Linked DNA regions of Caenorhabditis elegans. The protein of the gene in region 1 interacts with the protein of each later gene in a pairwise test. Each region holds a gene or a part of one and is shown on either strand. Other genes may lie near its edges.

Region 1 (7,401 bases):
TATCAGTATTAAATGATAAATTCACGTTTTTTCTTCTTACTATTGTTCATGATTAGAACAAAACATCGAATATTTAAAATCCTTTGATTTTAATTTGAAAAATGCAAATAATAAATTTACTCTTTATTTCAGAGCGAGAATCCGAACTTTATGAATGCATTCACTTTGTTTCTTAATCTATCACGTCTAAAATAACTCGATGGCTACGTGACAAATGCAATATTTTCTTCTTTCAATTTTAACACAGACATAGTTCACTTTCCCATCGATAAGATCATATTATGCTCTCTGTTACACCTGAAGACTCATGTTTTTTTGCTTTTCTGTACAAAATGTTAACCGTTTGGATGAATAAACCGGCAACGACAAAAATGCTCAGGTGAGGAAATTTGAAACATGACATTTTAGCCAAACGTACAGTCTGGCGCTTCACTATTGCCTGGCGCTTCACTATTGCCACTTATTATTGTAATACTGTCTCCAAACGTTTACAAGCTTTAGAATTCACACAATTTCATTCAAAACTTTTTTCTATTCGATGTATTATATAAATGCACATTAAATAAATTCATAATGACTATAAATACATCAACATAACTAAATAATATTTGTCACACATCTGGTTTGCTCTATTCGTAGTGCACTATTTTAAAACTGTATATGTAAAACTGTATTAACTGATAATATTAAATTCCAAAGTTCAGCAATGAAGTGCATGCTTAATAGAGCAAATTTGATACAATTATTACATAAATATTAAAATTTAGATCATATTTTATGGCAGTTATGAATCTTCGTCGGACAGTTCAATTTCAATAACGTTTTCCAAACGTTCACAAGTCGCTGTAGACAATTGTCGCCTCCATTTCAGGTTATATTTTGAAAAAGATACACATGGATCAACCCGAACCTCCTCAACTTTTCCAACAGAATAAAATCTTTCTATTAGCTGTAAGTCCACCGAATATCGAATGCGGGATGCGTGATGAAGTCTAACAAAACATGATGCAATCTGCAAACAATCCAATTCATATATGCAAATTTGGTGATACTTCATGTGTGTACACCATTGACTAACCAATTTCCCATCCAAATTTGAAAACTTCTCATAATGCGGCCCACTTCTACAGGCAAATGTTCTACAAAGACATCTTTGCCTTCGAAACACCTTGTATTCTGAGCCATAATCCAGAGTAAGCTGAAATTAGTAATTTAAATGGTTATGTATATAACATTTTCAGACAAATGGACTTCATAATTTGCAATGAAAAATTAAAAACTATGAAAAACACAAATTTTTAGGATTACCGTATTTTCCTTCTGAGTAATGCGTCCCTATTAGACTTGCTCTCTAAGTGGTGTATCGAAAAAATAAAATGTTCTTCAGAAATATTTTAAAAGTATATTTTTTAGTTGTTCGTTGATTTTTCAATATTTATCCAGTTGATTCTCAAGAAATAATGTGTAATGGGAGTAATTTAAGGTGATTTTTTGTCTTTCAAATCACATACAAAACTGTACAAGTCTTACTGATCAAAAAATATGATATGCAACCTCTATTAGACTCTCGATTGGACAAATTGGAAATGAGATTTGCATGCAAAATGTACCATATATTCTGAACTTTTTCAGTTTAATGTAACTAAAATGTTGTACCCGGAACAGAATTGACACTTTTTCAGGCAGGCCCATCTATGGCTGCTTTATTTTAAAAATATAAAAATTTCCTTACAGGTTCTCCTGGAAAAATGTCCTTCAGAGTGAAAAAAATCATTCGCATATTGGCGGGTGTAAATCCTTCTTTGAAAAGTCGAAGAGGTTCCATATTCGGAGTACATGAATGATTTGCAAATCTGCCAACACTTCCTTGCATTTTGGCGTCCAAGTGAAAATGATGCTTGCTCAATTCGTCCAGTACATCATAGTATTCTGGATTGTTTTTGTACTTTTCACGAAGCAGGTTGTAAAGGTGTTTGTCTCCTTCACAGTCAGTTAACTGGTAACTATAATTTTCCAATGAACTATGCAGCCGTTCTCCATCAACTAGTTCTCCGCAGTATTCAATAATTGGAGTCCCTGCTGGAATGAACAGAGTAGATCGAATTCCAAATCCAATTTGAGGATCTGCACGATAAATTTCAATAGAGTACAGTTTCTTTTGAATCAAGTACGTTGCATTATTAGTGCAAGCTCCTTTACAAGCACATTTTGGTGAACATGCAAACCCAACAGTATTGTAGTAAGTCGGATTTCCATCGTTGTACATAAGGGGTTGAAAAGTATGCTGAAAATAGACAATTTGCAAAATAATTATTAAAACTGAGAAATATACTTACAAATTTCAACTTTTCATTTGTATCCGTTGTTTTGTTTCTAGATTGCAAAAACTGATTTGCAATAAAACACGGGCAATCTTTGTTATCAAAACAGTTGACGACTGGATCTTGGGAACAACATTTACAACGAATCTGAATAAAAAAGCTGATATACTTTTACTAAATGAAATATTGCATTGTCATTTACTTTTATTTTTAAATCATATATAATTCCTTCTCTTAGAGTGTTTTTTAATATTCTAACAGTTTCAACCCCTTACAATTTTGAATTAAAAATATTTTAAACATAATTCAAACATAAAACTACTACTAGAAACTGGAAGAAAAACATTTTTTTTAAACATAAAGTTGATGAAAACTCAGTTTTTACCGTTTTATTCTCGGATTTTGAAAAAAATCAAAACGTTTTCCAAATTAAGTTCAAAATTTTACAATTGTGATATTTGATGATTTTAGAGCCATAAAAATGGTTTTTACTTGTTCTCCAACTTGACGTTCTCTACTACTACTTATTCTACACGTTTTTTCTTAGGTCGCTCATCACAACTGTTCAAGAATGTTTTTCTATTGCCAAAGCCTGTCGTTGCAAAAACTATCGAATTACAATTTTAATTTTTCAACTTGCCAGTTGTTTTATAAATTCGAATCGAAAAACATCATACCACATTTTCTGACGATCCTGCAATTTTGATTGCTTCATATAGCAACGGCTCTTTAACTTTGTCCACCATATTGTTGATAATGTGATCATAAAGAAGGGGGTTTGGAATTTTGACTGTTTTTAGTGTTTCGCCTTTTGCATCTGTGTAAACTGGAATTCTGTGGGTATCATTTGACAAGTGAATATCATCCGTAATACGAATCCGTGTTCTAGGCGCCACATATATCAACTTTTCAAAGTAACGGTCGAGCTCTCTGAAATTAAGCTTTATAACATATAAGTCTACATAAAAATTCCTCACTCAGGTATTTCTTCTTCCCCATGATCACGTTCAGGTTCTTCATAGAAATTACGGCCAAAGGTGGCCAGACATCGAACAGCCATAAACAGAGCTCTCGTGCTTTGCTCGGCTCCCATGAATCTTCGGTAATATCCATTCAACGTTGGGTCTAGCTCTATAATGTCGTCGAACCTAACAGCTTCTTCGTGCATTAGACGGATGTCGTTGTGTTTCTTTATTACTTTCATTTCTTTTTTCCAGTGTTCTCTTCTTTCATTCAAGCTCATGTCGGAGTACTCAAAAATAGATGGGTGACGAAAGTCCGCAATCTGAAAATACAATTTTCAGCTAGAACATTGTCAATAAGTAGATAATTTTGAATGATACAGTTGAGCACTGTTTTTCAGTTATTGTAAATACAACAGTTTTATTCAATTCGGTTTTCAAATTTTTAAAATCTGTAAATATGATTACCCTCGCTGGGTTGACGTTTCGTAGTTCTGCACATATAGTACTGTGATGAGGAGCAAACGAAGATATTGTGCTGTATGTTTTCCTTTTATGACGTTTTGTTTTTGTCTGAAAAAAAAACATTTTGTTGCACAAGGAGGGGTCTCTCTAAATCTCTCTGTAAATGTTCTTAGCGAATTTGAACTAACGGAATTCGGTGGCAATAAAATATGTAAAACCCACTTGGCGTGCTGGAAATGTACATGATGTGGATGCTTCCATTGAGCTCGATGAGGTCCTACTCTTTTTTCGAGACTTAACTTCCAGTTTTCTTTCTTTCGAATGCTGGAATTAGTATTATTGTGAAAATTATGTTTTTTTTGTAGCAATTGTTTGATATACAAACAAATTCTCATCACGTACGATTAAAATATGAACATATCAGGGAGTCAAACAGTTCAAGAACAATTTTGATAATGGCCAATGGATGAAAACCGTATTTTTTCTGTATTTTCACATTCAAAACTTTTTTTAAAAATTTCTAGTTTCTAGCATGAAAAGTGAACATTGTCATTAAACAAATACAATTTGAAAGTAGTTTTTAGTTATAGAAGTGAGCAATCCAGTTAATCTGCATTCCAGGCCGTTGTCACTTCTGAGTAATTTGCTCTAGTGACTATTCACGTTCGAATCATTTTTCCAGAGTTCAATAAATTTGGAGCTGAAAGTCGCCAGACTGCTTCAATGAGCATTTGACGTTATACTTATTTAAAAATTAGTAGCAAGCTGCACATTTCAATTTCATACTTTTTTTCAGTACTGTGCAGAGAATACATTTTTTGTTAAAATTAGGCTAGTAGATATTACCGTTGAAATTGTTATATTTGAAGAATCTCGTTTCAAAAATAAAAACAACCTACTAATCTATGAAAAGATTCAACTGATCTTCTACGCTTTTCCGTCAAATTATTTGAAATCGCTCGATCAACAACTTCCTGCTGGTTTCTTTCCGTAGCCTGTAAAATGACTGTGATTAGGCGGAACTATAAATTTGCAACTATTCAGAATATATATCTTTTTGTTTGTTGAGAAGTCAAAAACATTGAAAACTTACTTCAGATTCATCATCACTAATTGTAATTATAATAGACCGTTCAACAGAGCTATTTGATGTGCTAGATAGGGAGTGATTTCTTTCATCTGAATAACTATTTGATGAGATGGGGCTTTTCCGTGGTTCTTCCCAAATGGTCAGTTCCTGAAGATAAGTTATCGTGAAAATGAAATCTAGGAAACGTTTCTATTTCAAACAAACTTCCATCTACAAAAATGGCACTTACATCGTCGTCGTCACTTATTGTTATTATTGGAACATTTGCTGTTGACATTGAATATGTTGATGAACCTCCAGTTCGAGATCGTTCCATTTTCTATAAGCAGTAAACTAATTAAAGTTGTGGAAAATGAATTTCATGTCGATGAATAAAAAATTACGATTATTACTATAGTACAAAGAAAAAATAAGATTCAATTATTGAAAACTTTCGAAAAAAAGAACTAACAATATGACAAGTTAACTCGCGTTTTGAAAAAATCAATAATCTTGTCCAGTGAAAAAGCGGAACAAATAGAGAGCAGACGTACTAACAGACGCAGATACTAAAGCAGTTTGAGAGAGAAGAGAGACTGGAATTGGGGAAGAGAGATTTAGAGAGTGCATTCTAACCAGTTCAATTGACTGACAAATGTGAGAGGAGCGAAGACAATATTAAAATCTTCAATTGTATTCGTATGAGCAGTATCAAAATTTAGAAAAAAAAGCCTATTAGTAAAATGTTATGTCTTTAAAAGAATGAAGGCACAAAAGACAAACGATATAGCTAAATACGATACGATATAGCTGAATACGATACGATATAGCTGAATAATTTTAGAATATACCAACAATATTCCAGTAGGTACAAGAAGCTTCACGTAGTTACAGAAATAGTACATTTTCAGCCCTACCTTTTAGAGCGTATTTTATTATTTAATAAAAACTACCATTAATAGGCAAAAATAGATGAATTTTTGTAATTTTGAAAATTCATAAATCTCTTCAAAGTAACTTTTTTTGAAATGTCTTTCAGAAACTTTGTAGTAAATTTTAAGCTCTTTCAGAATATATTAACAATATTTCAGTAGTTACAAGAAGCTTCACGTAGTTACAGAAATAGTACATTTTCAGCCCTACCTTTTAGAGCGTATTTTATTATTTAATAAAAATTCATCTATTTTTGCCTATAAATGGTAGTTTTCATTAACTAATAAAATACGCACTAAAAGGTAAAGCTGAAAATGTACTATTTCTGTAACTACGTGAAGCTTCTTGTACCTACTGGAATATTGTTGGTATATTCTAAAAGAGCTTAAAATTTACTACAAAGTTTCTAAAAGACATTTCGAAAAAAGTTACTTTGAAGAGATTTATGAATTTTCAAAGTTTGGAAAATCCATCTATTTTTGCCTATTAATGGTAGTTTTCATTAACTAATAAAATACGCACTAAAAGGTAAAGCTGAAAATGTACTATTTCTGTAACTACGTGAAGCTTCTTGTACCTACTGGAATATTGTTAATATATTCTGAAAGAGCTTAAAATTTACTACAAAGTTTCTGAAAGACATTTCAAAAAAAGTTACTTTGAAGAGATTTATGAATTTTGAAAATTACGAAAATTCATCTATTTTTGCCTCTAAATGGTAGTTTTCATTAAATAATAAAATACGCATTATAAGGTAGGGCTGAAAATGTACTATTTCTGTAACTACGTGAAGCTTCTTGTACCTACTGAAATATTGTTAATATATTCTGAAAGAGCTTAAAATTTACTACAAAGTTTCTGAAAGACATTTCGAAAAAAGTTACTTTGAAGAGATTTATGAATTTTCAAAGTTACGAAAATCCATATATTTTTGCCTATTAATGGTAGTTTTTATTAAATAATAAAATACGCATTATAAGGTAGGGCTGAAAATGTACTATTTCTGTAACTACGTGAAGCTTCTTGTACCTACTGAAATATTGTTAATATATTCTGAAAGAGCTTAAAATTTACTACAGAGTTTTTGAAAGACATTTTGAAAAAAGTTACTTTGAAGAGATTTATGAATTTTCAAAGTTTGGAAAATTCATCTATTTTTGCCTATAAATGGTAGTTTTAATTAAATAATAAAATACGCATTATAAGGTAGGGCTGAAAATGTACTATTTCTGTAACTACGTGAAGCTTCTTGTACCTACTGAAATATTGTTAATATATTCTGAAAGAGCTTAAAATTTACTACAAAGTTTCTGAAAGACATTTCGAAAAAAGTTACTTTGAAGAGATTTATGAATTTTCAAAATTACGAAAATTCATCTATTTTTGCCTCTAAATGGTAGTTTTCATTAAATAATAAAATACGCATTATAAGGTAGGGCTGAAAATGTACTATTTCTGTAACTACGTGAAGCTTCTTGTACCTACTGAAATATTGTTAATATATTCTGAAAGAGCTTAAAATTTACTACAAAGTTTCTGAAAGACATTTCAAAAAAAGTTACTTTGAAGAGATTTATGAATTTTCAAAGTTTGGAAAATCCCTCTATTTTTGCCTATAAATGGTAGTTTTAATTAAATAATAAAATACGCA
Region 2 (4,982 bases), on another chromosome or scaffold:
TTGTGCTCCAGCACGTGGACCCTTTGGACACCATGCTCCACCACGAACCGGCAGTTTTTCAAGCTTTTCTTGCTCTTCTTTTGCCACTTTCAGATGTTTTGCAAAGTTTCGGAGTCTGAAAATTGACATTTTTACCGTTAAAAAAAAACTGCTAAAATGGAAAATGCTGCAGGAAAATTCAATTTTTCGGAAAAATTGCTTAAAATCTAAATATTTCAGGTAATCATTTACTATATATAAAGCGCTTATTCCGTTTGTCCATAGTTTGTAGTCTATGTAGTCTTTGTATTCTGTGACGTTTTGGCTTCTGGAGGATAGTGAGTTGGGCTTAGTGTAGGGATATAGTCGGGGTACTGTAGTGGTACAATAGTGGTACGGTAGGAGTACTGTATGATTACGGTAGTTTCAGAAAAATTAGTTTTCAGCCCCAGAAGTCGGGGGCTGCGCCGAAGGTGCGGTCCACGGCTGGTTTACAATAAATTTTTATTTTTTTAAGTGAAAAATTGCTTTTAAAAAAAGTGATTTTTTATGTAAATTGCAAGAAAAATATTTTTTAGAAGAACAAATGCTGAAAATCTGGATTTTTGGGTGAATTTCTAAAAAAATTGATTTTTCGTGAAAAAAAAAAGGGTGAATTAGTTTTTTTCCATAAAAAAATGCTGAAAATTGAAACCTTTCGGGTTATTTTGAAGAAAATTGTATTCTTTTTTTGTGAAAAATCGCTGAAAATCGGGGTTTTTTGGGTGAATTTTCATAAAAATTAGATTTTTTTTCGATGAAAAATAGCTGAAAATCGGGGCTTTTCGGGATAATTTCAGGAAAATATTTTATTTTTTGAGTGAAAAAAATTAGAAGACGATTTTTTATAAAAATTGCAAGAAAAATGATTTTTAGTATTTAGGAAAAATGCTAAAATTCTGGATTTTTGGGATAATTATTTGTTTTGTGTTTAGGTGAAAATTGCTATCAATCGAGATTTTTTGTGTAAATTGCAAGAAATCTACTTTTTTCTACTTTTTTTGGTGAAAAATCACTGAAAATTTGAATTTTTTGAATAATTAGCAAGAAAATGATTTTTTAAATGAAAAATAGCTAAAAATCGTGATTTTTTAAAAATGTAATTAGCAAAAATCATTCTTAAAGGAAGAAAAATCACTGAAAATCCCGATTTTTTGGATGAATTTCCATGAAAATCTCATTTTTTTGCTAAATTTTCCAAAATCCATACGCGATATCGAACCAAACATCAACATCAATTTGCTGCTCGACTTTATTCGTTTCTTCCGGCTCTTTTTGCAAATTTTCAATGAACAATTCCTTCATTTCCATAATTCTTTCTCTGGATTTCGACGATTTCCACGGCAATTTTCCATGTGTCCAATCGTAGAGCACATAGAGCATCATTTCCATCATATCCAATTCAGTCATTCGATGAGATTGATCTCGATCGACAAAAGAGCGCGGCGCGTAGATCAAATCTCCGGTTTTCCAATGCAAATCTATAGATTCGGCTGTTCTGAGATGAATCTCGTCGATGGCACGGTGACGTTTGTCAGAGGAGACGGTGATCTGCAAATTTTTGGAATTTTAGTATGAGAAAAATCGATTTTTAACGAGAATCTGGGGTTTTAAATGCATAAATTGTTTATTTTAAGAGTCTGAAACCGAAATTTCTTCCAAGAAATCAAAAATTTGATTAATAAAAAAATAAAATCGAAAAAATAAACTCGAATTTCGACTGAAAATTGCGATTTTTAGTTTTTTTCAGTAGAAATTGTTTTTTTTTGACGAAGTATATGTTTTTAATAATTTTTCTAAAGAAACTCGCTGTTTTGCGGAGTTTTTGAAACCAACAATGTTGATTTTCAGACGATTCTGGGACTTTTATTCATTTTTCCCAAAAATTTCAAATTTTTATGGGGTTATTCAAGTAATGTAGCAAAATGTATTTAAATACATTTGTGACGTCACAAATGTATTTAAATACATGTTTTTATCTACTTGAATAAGGTTGTGACGTAATTTTTCTACACTTTTTAATTTTCCGACACTACTTGAATAACCCCATTAGGTAAAAATTGCTGGAAATTGAGATTTTTCGGGCAAATTTCAAGAAAAATAACTGAAAATTGGTTTTTTGTGGATTTACCGAGAAAATACGTTTTTTATGTGAAAACATTGCTAAAAATCACAGATTTTTGTATAATACGAAGAAAATACGCTTTTTCGGTGAAAATTGCTGAAAATTTAGATTTTTCGGGCGAATTTCAGGAAAATTACTGAAAATCGGGGTTTCTTGTTGTATAAATCCAAAAAATTAAGTTTTTTATGTGAAAACATTGCTAAAAATCGGCGATTTTTGTACAATTCCAAGAAAATACGCTTTTCAGGTGAAAAAATGCTGGAAATCGAGATTTTTTAGGTGAATTTTTAAGAAAATTGGTTTTTTCGTGTAATTCCGAAAAAATGCGTTTTCTAGGTGAAAAGTTGCTGAAAATCGCGATTTTTCTTGCAATTTTTTAGTGGAAATTGTTATTTTAAAAGCGGAAACATAGTCCGTACATCAGTAGCATCGGCCAAATAAAACTGCCTCGTTTTGATATCCAACATCCATTGTTTCGAGTCGAAATTTCTCAAAACCCATCCGGAAGCTGACAGAATTTCGATAGCAGAAATCATGTCGACAGCGAGGAAACTGGCAGTAGTTACGGACATTTTATCACTGCTCAGACATTTTAAAAGATCATGTAAAGTGGGTCCTGCACGGATTCTGACGACCATGAAGAAGACGTGATTATTTATGATTCCGGCATCAATTAAAGCGGAAAATCGATGAGAATAGCCAAGTGACGATTGCTGATGATAGAAATCTACTTGATTCGCGATGGTTGTCACGTTGTCCTCGCCGATTTCCAAGTAAAGAATCCCCTGAAAATTCGAATAATAATTTTTTTTTTACTTTTTTTTTTTTTAAATTTAATTTTTTTTAATAACTCACAAATTTCTTGCACGGCTTGTCACACACAAGATAACAATACGCGGCTCCTCGTTTCTCCTTTTTCTCCAAAATAATCCATTTACCATTAAAAAGCTTTTGCTCCTTCAGACCTGCCAAGTCCTCATCGGTGAATCGATGCTCAATGTTTTCTAAATCGTGTCCTTTGCGATTTCTGTTCATTTTTTACCTGAAAAGTTGATAAACTCACAAGAAAAATGGTGAAAAACAAGTAAATTTAGGCAGGAAAAACGAAAATTTAAATATTTAAATTTAAAATTCGCTGCCATCGAGAAAAGCGCAAGCAACACGAGAAACGCGCTAGCAGTGGTAGCTGACGCAACTTTCGTTATTGACGATTAATTTCAAAAACATGTTTTAAAACAATTAAAAATGATTTATTTTGAGGAAAAAACACACAAAAAAAATGCTTTTGAAGAAAAAAACATAAAAATTAAGAGCTTTCCTCGGTCAAACTGGAGAAAGAAGCCACCAAATTGGCGTTTTCATCTAAAATCTGCCGTTTCTTCCCAGTTTTCTTCAACAACATTTCAAGCTCTTCCAGCATCTTCTTCTGCTCCTGCTCCATTCGTTTCTCCTCTTCAACACGTTCGCCAAGCGATTTGCGTTGCTCTTTGAGCATTTCCACAACTTTTTCGATTTCAGCGCTTTTATCATTCCAATATTCGCATTTCTCCTCCTCTCTGTCACAATCCAGCTTCAAATCTTTGAGTTGTTGCTGAAAATGTTTCAATATTGCTTTAAACATTTTCAGATTTATTAATAAAAACCTTGTGCAAGTGGCGACGATAGTCGATTTCCTCCCGCATTCTCTGAACAATCACTCGCTTTTCCGCGAGTAAATCCAGACTTTCTTGAATTTCAGCAGAAAGTGTCGCGGATATTTCCATCGTTGTGCCCATCTTAGCCTTTTTCAGCTTCACCTGAACAAAAAATTGCATATAATATTAGTTTTCGCCATATCTTACGCGCATGGTCTCGTCACGCGGACAAAAGGTTACTTTTCATTGTGATAATTCACGGGTCGCTATTACAAAAACACTAAATGCTGAGAATGCGTATTATGCAACATATCTGACGGGCAAAGTATCTCGTAGCGAAAACTACAGTAATTCTTTAAATGACTACTGTAGCACGGATGTCGATTTACGGGCTTTTTTTTATTTTCGGAAACATTTCTCGGAAAATTCGGAAGTTTTTTTTGATTTTCAGAATCGGACCAGCGCTACAGTAGTCATTTAACGAATTACTGTAGTTTTCGCTACGGGATATTTTGCGCGTCAGATACGTTGCGCAATACCCATTCTCAAAATTTAGTGGTTCTTTTTATAGGTTAGTGCCCGTAAATCGACACGAGTTACAGTACCTCGTTCACAGCGTGGTGAGACCCACATAATTTTTTGACGACTATGTAATACCTCATTCATCATCTCCGACAAATGCTGAGCCCAGGCGGTGACGCGACACGAGATGTCCGATTCGCGACGTCTCGCCTTATCCACGCGATCCCAAAGTTCGGTGACCTGCGACTGAACGACATCGATCCGATTGCTCAGTTGCAGCTTCTTCTCCATTTCCAGCTCGAGCTTGTGCTCCAGAAGGCGACAACATTCGTCGACATCGTGCTCGTATTCGGCGACCGATTCGCTCTGAAAAAAAATCACTTGAACTTTTTCCGAATAGAAATTTCGCGCGGAACCCACCGTAATCGACGTTGTCAGGGTCAACTTCTCGCGAATCACTTTGATATCCATTTATCGATTGATTTTTCGGAGAAAAATATTCGGAAATAAATTCAAATGTCGAATAGGTTCCACATTTGCCACGAGAAATTTGAATTCTATGGAATATTTTAAAATCAAAATTTTGAATGTTCACGCTGGTAATTAATTGATTTAATAAAAGTATAAAACTTGATTTTCAAGCTCTCTGATCCGTGTACTCCCCGAGGAGAAGTTTTTTTTTG

Evidence for each region.
Region 2: the proteins of set-6 (region 1) and prde-1 interact in a two-hybrid assay, tested with the Caenorhabditis elegans proteins (one large-scale study listed by BioGRID).

Annotation. Positions count from the first base shown.
Region 1 is NC_003284.9:11,969,523-11,976,923, forward strand, and holds set-6 (Histone-lysine N-methyltransferase set-6), read right to left. Parts: upstream 5,158-7,401; 5' UTR 5,155-5,157; coding exon 5,068-5,154; intron 4,986-5,067; coding exon 4,842-4,985; intron 4,744-4,841; coding exon 4,648-4,743; intron 4,073-4,647; coding exon 3,971-4,072; intron 3,857-3,970; coding exon 3,752-3,856; intron 3,607-3,751; coding exon 3,299-3,606; intron 3,252-3,298; coding exon 2,999-3,251; intron 2,469-2,998; coding exon 2,337-2,468; intron 2,285-2,336; coding exon 1,733-2,284; intron 1,199-1,732; coding exon 1,079-1,198; intron 1,013-1,078; coding exon 785-1,012; 3' UTR 508-784; downstream 1-507.
Region 2 is NC_003283.11:15,536,454-15,541,435, reverse strand, and holds the start of prde-1 (piRNA biogenesis factor prde-1), read right to left. Parts: upstream 3,193-4,982; 5' UTR 3,179-3,192; coding exon 2,999-3,178; intron 2,929-2,998; coding exon 2,563-2,928; intron 1,570-2,562; coding exon 1,229-1,569; intron 116-1,228; coding exon 1-115. Other genes in the region: F21A3.4 (Trichohyalin-like), read right to left, coding at 3,450-3,734, 3,787-3,939, 4,435-4,665, 4,720-4,770. UniProt on the Caenorhabditis elegans protein: Nuclear factor required for the production of piwi-interacting RNA (piRNA) precursors. Specifically required for piRNAs produced from loci associated with the Ruby motif. Promotes binding of the transcription factor snpc-4 at piRNA genomic clusters.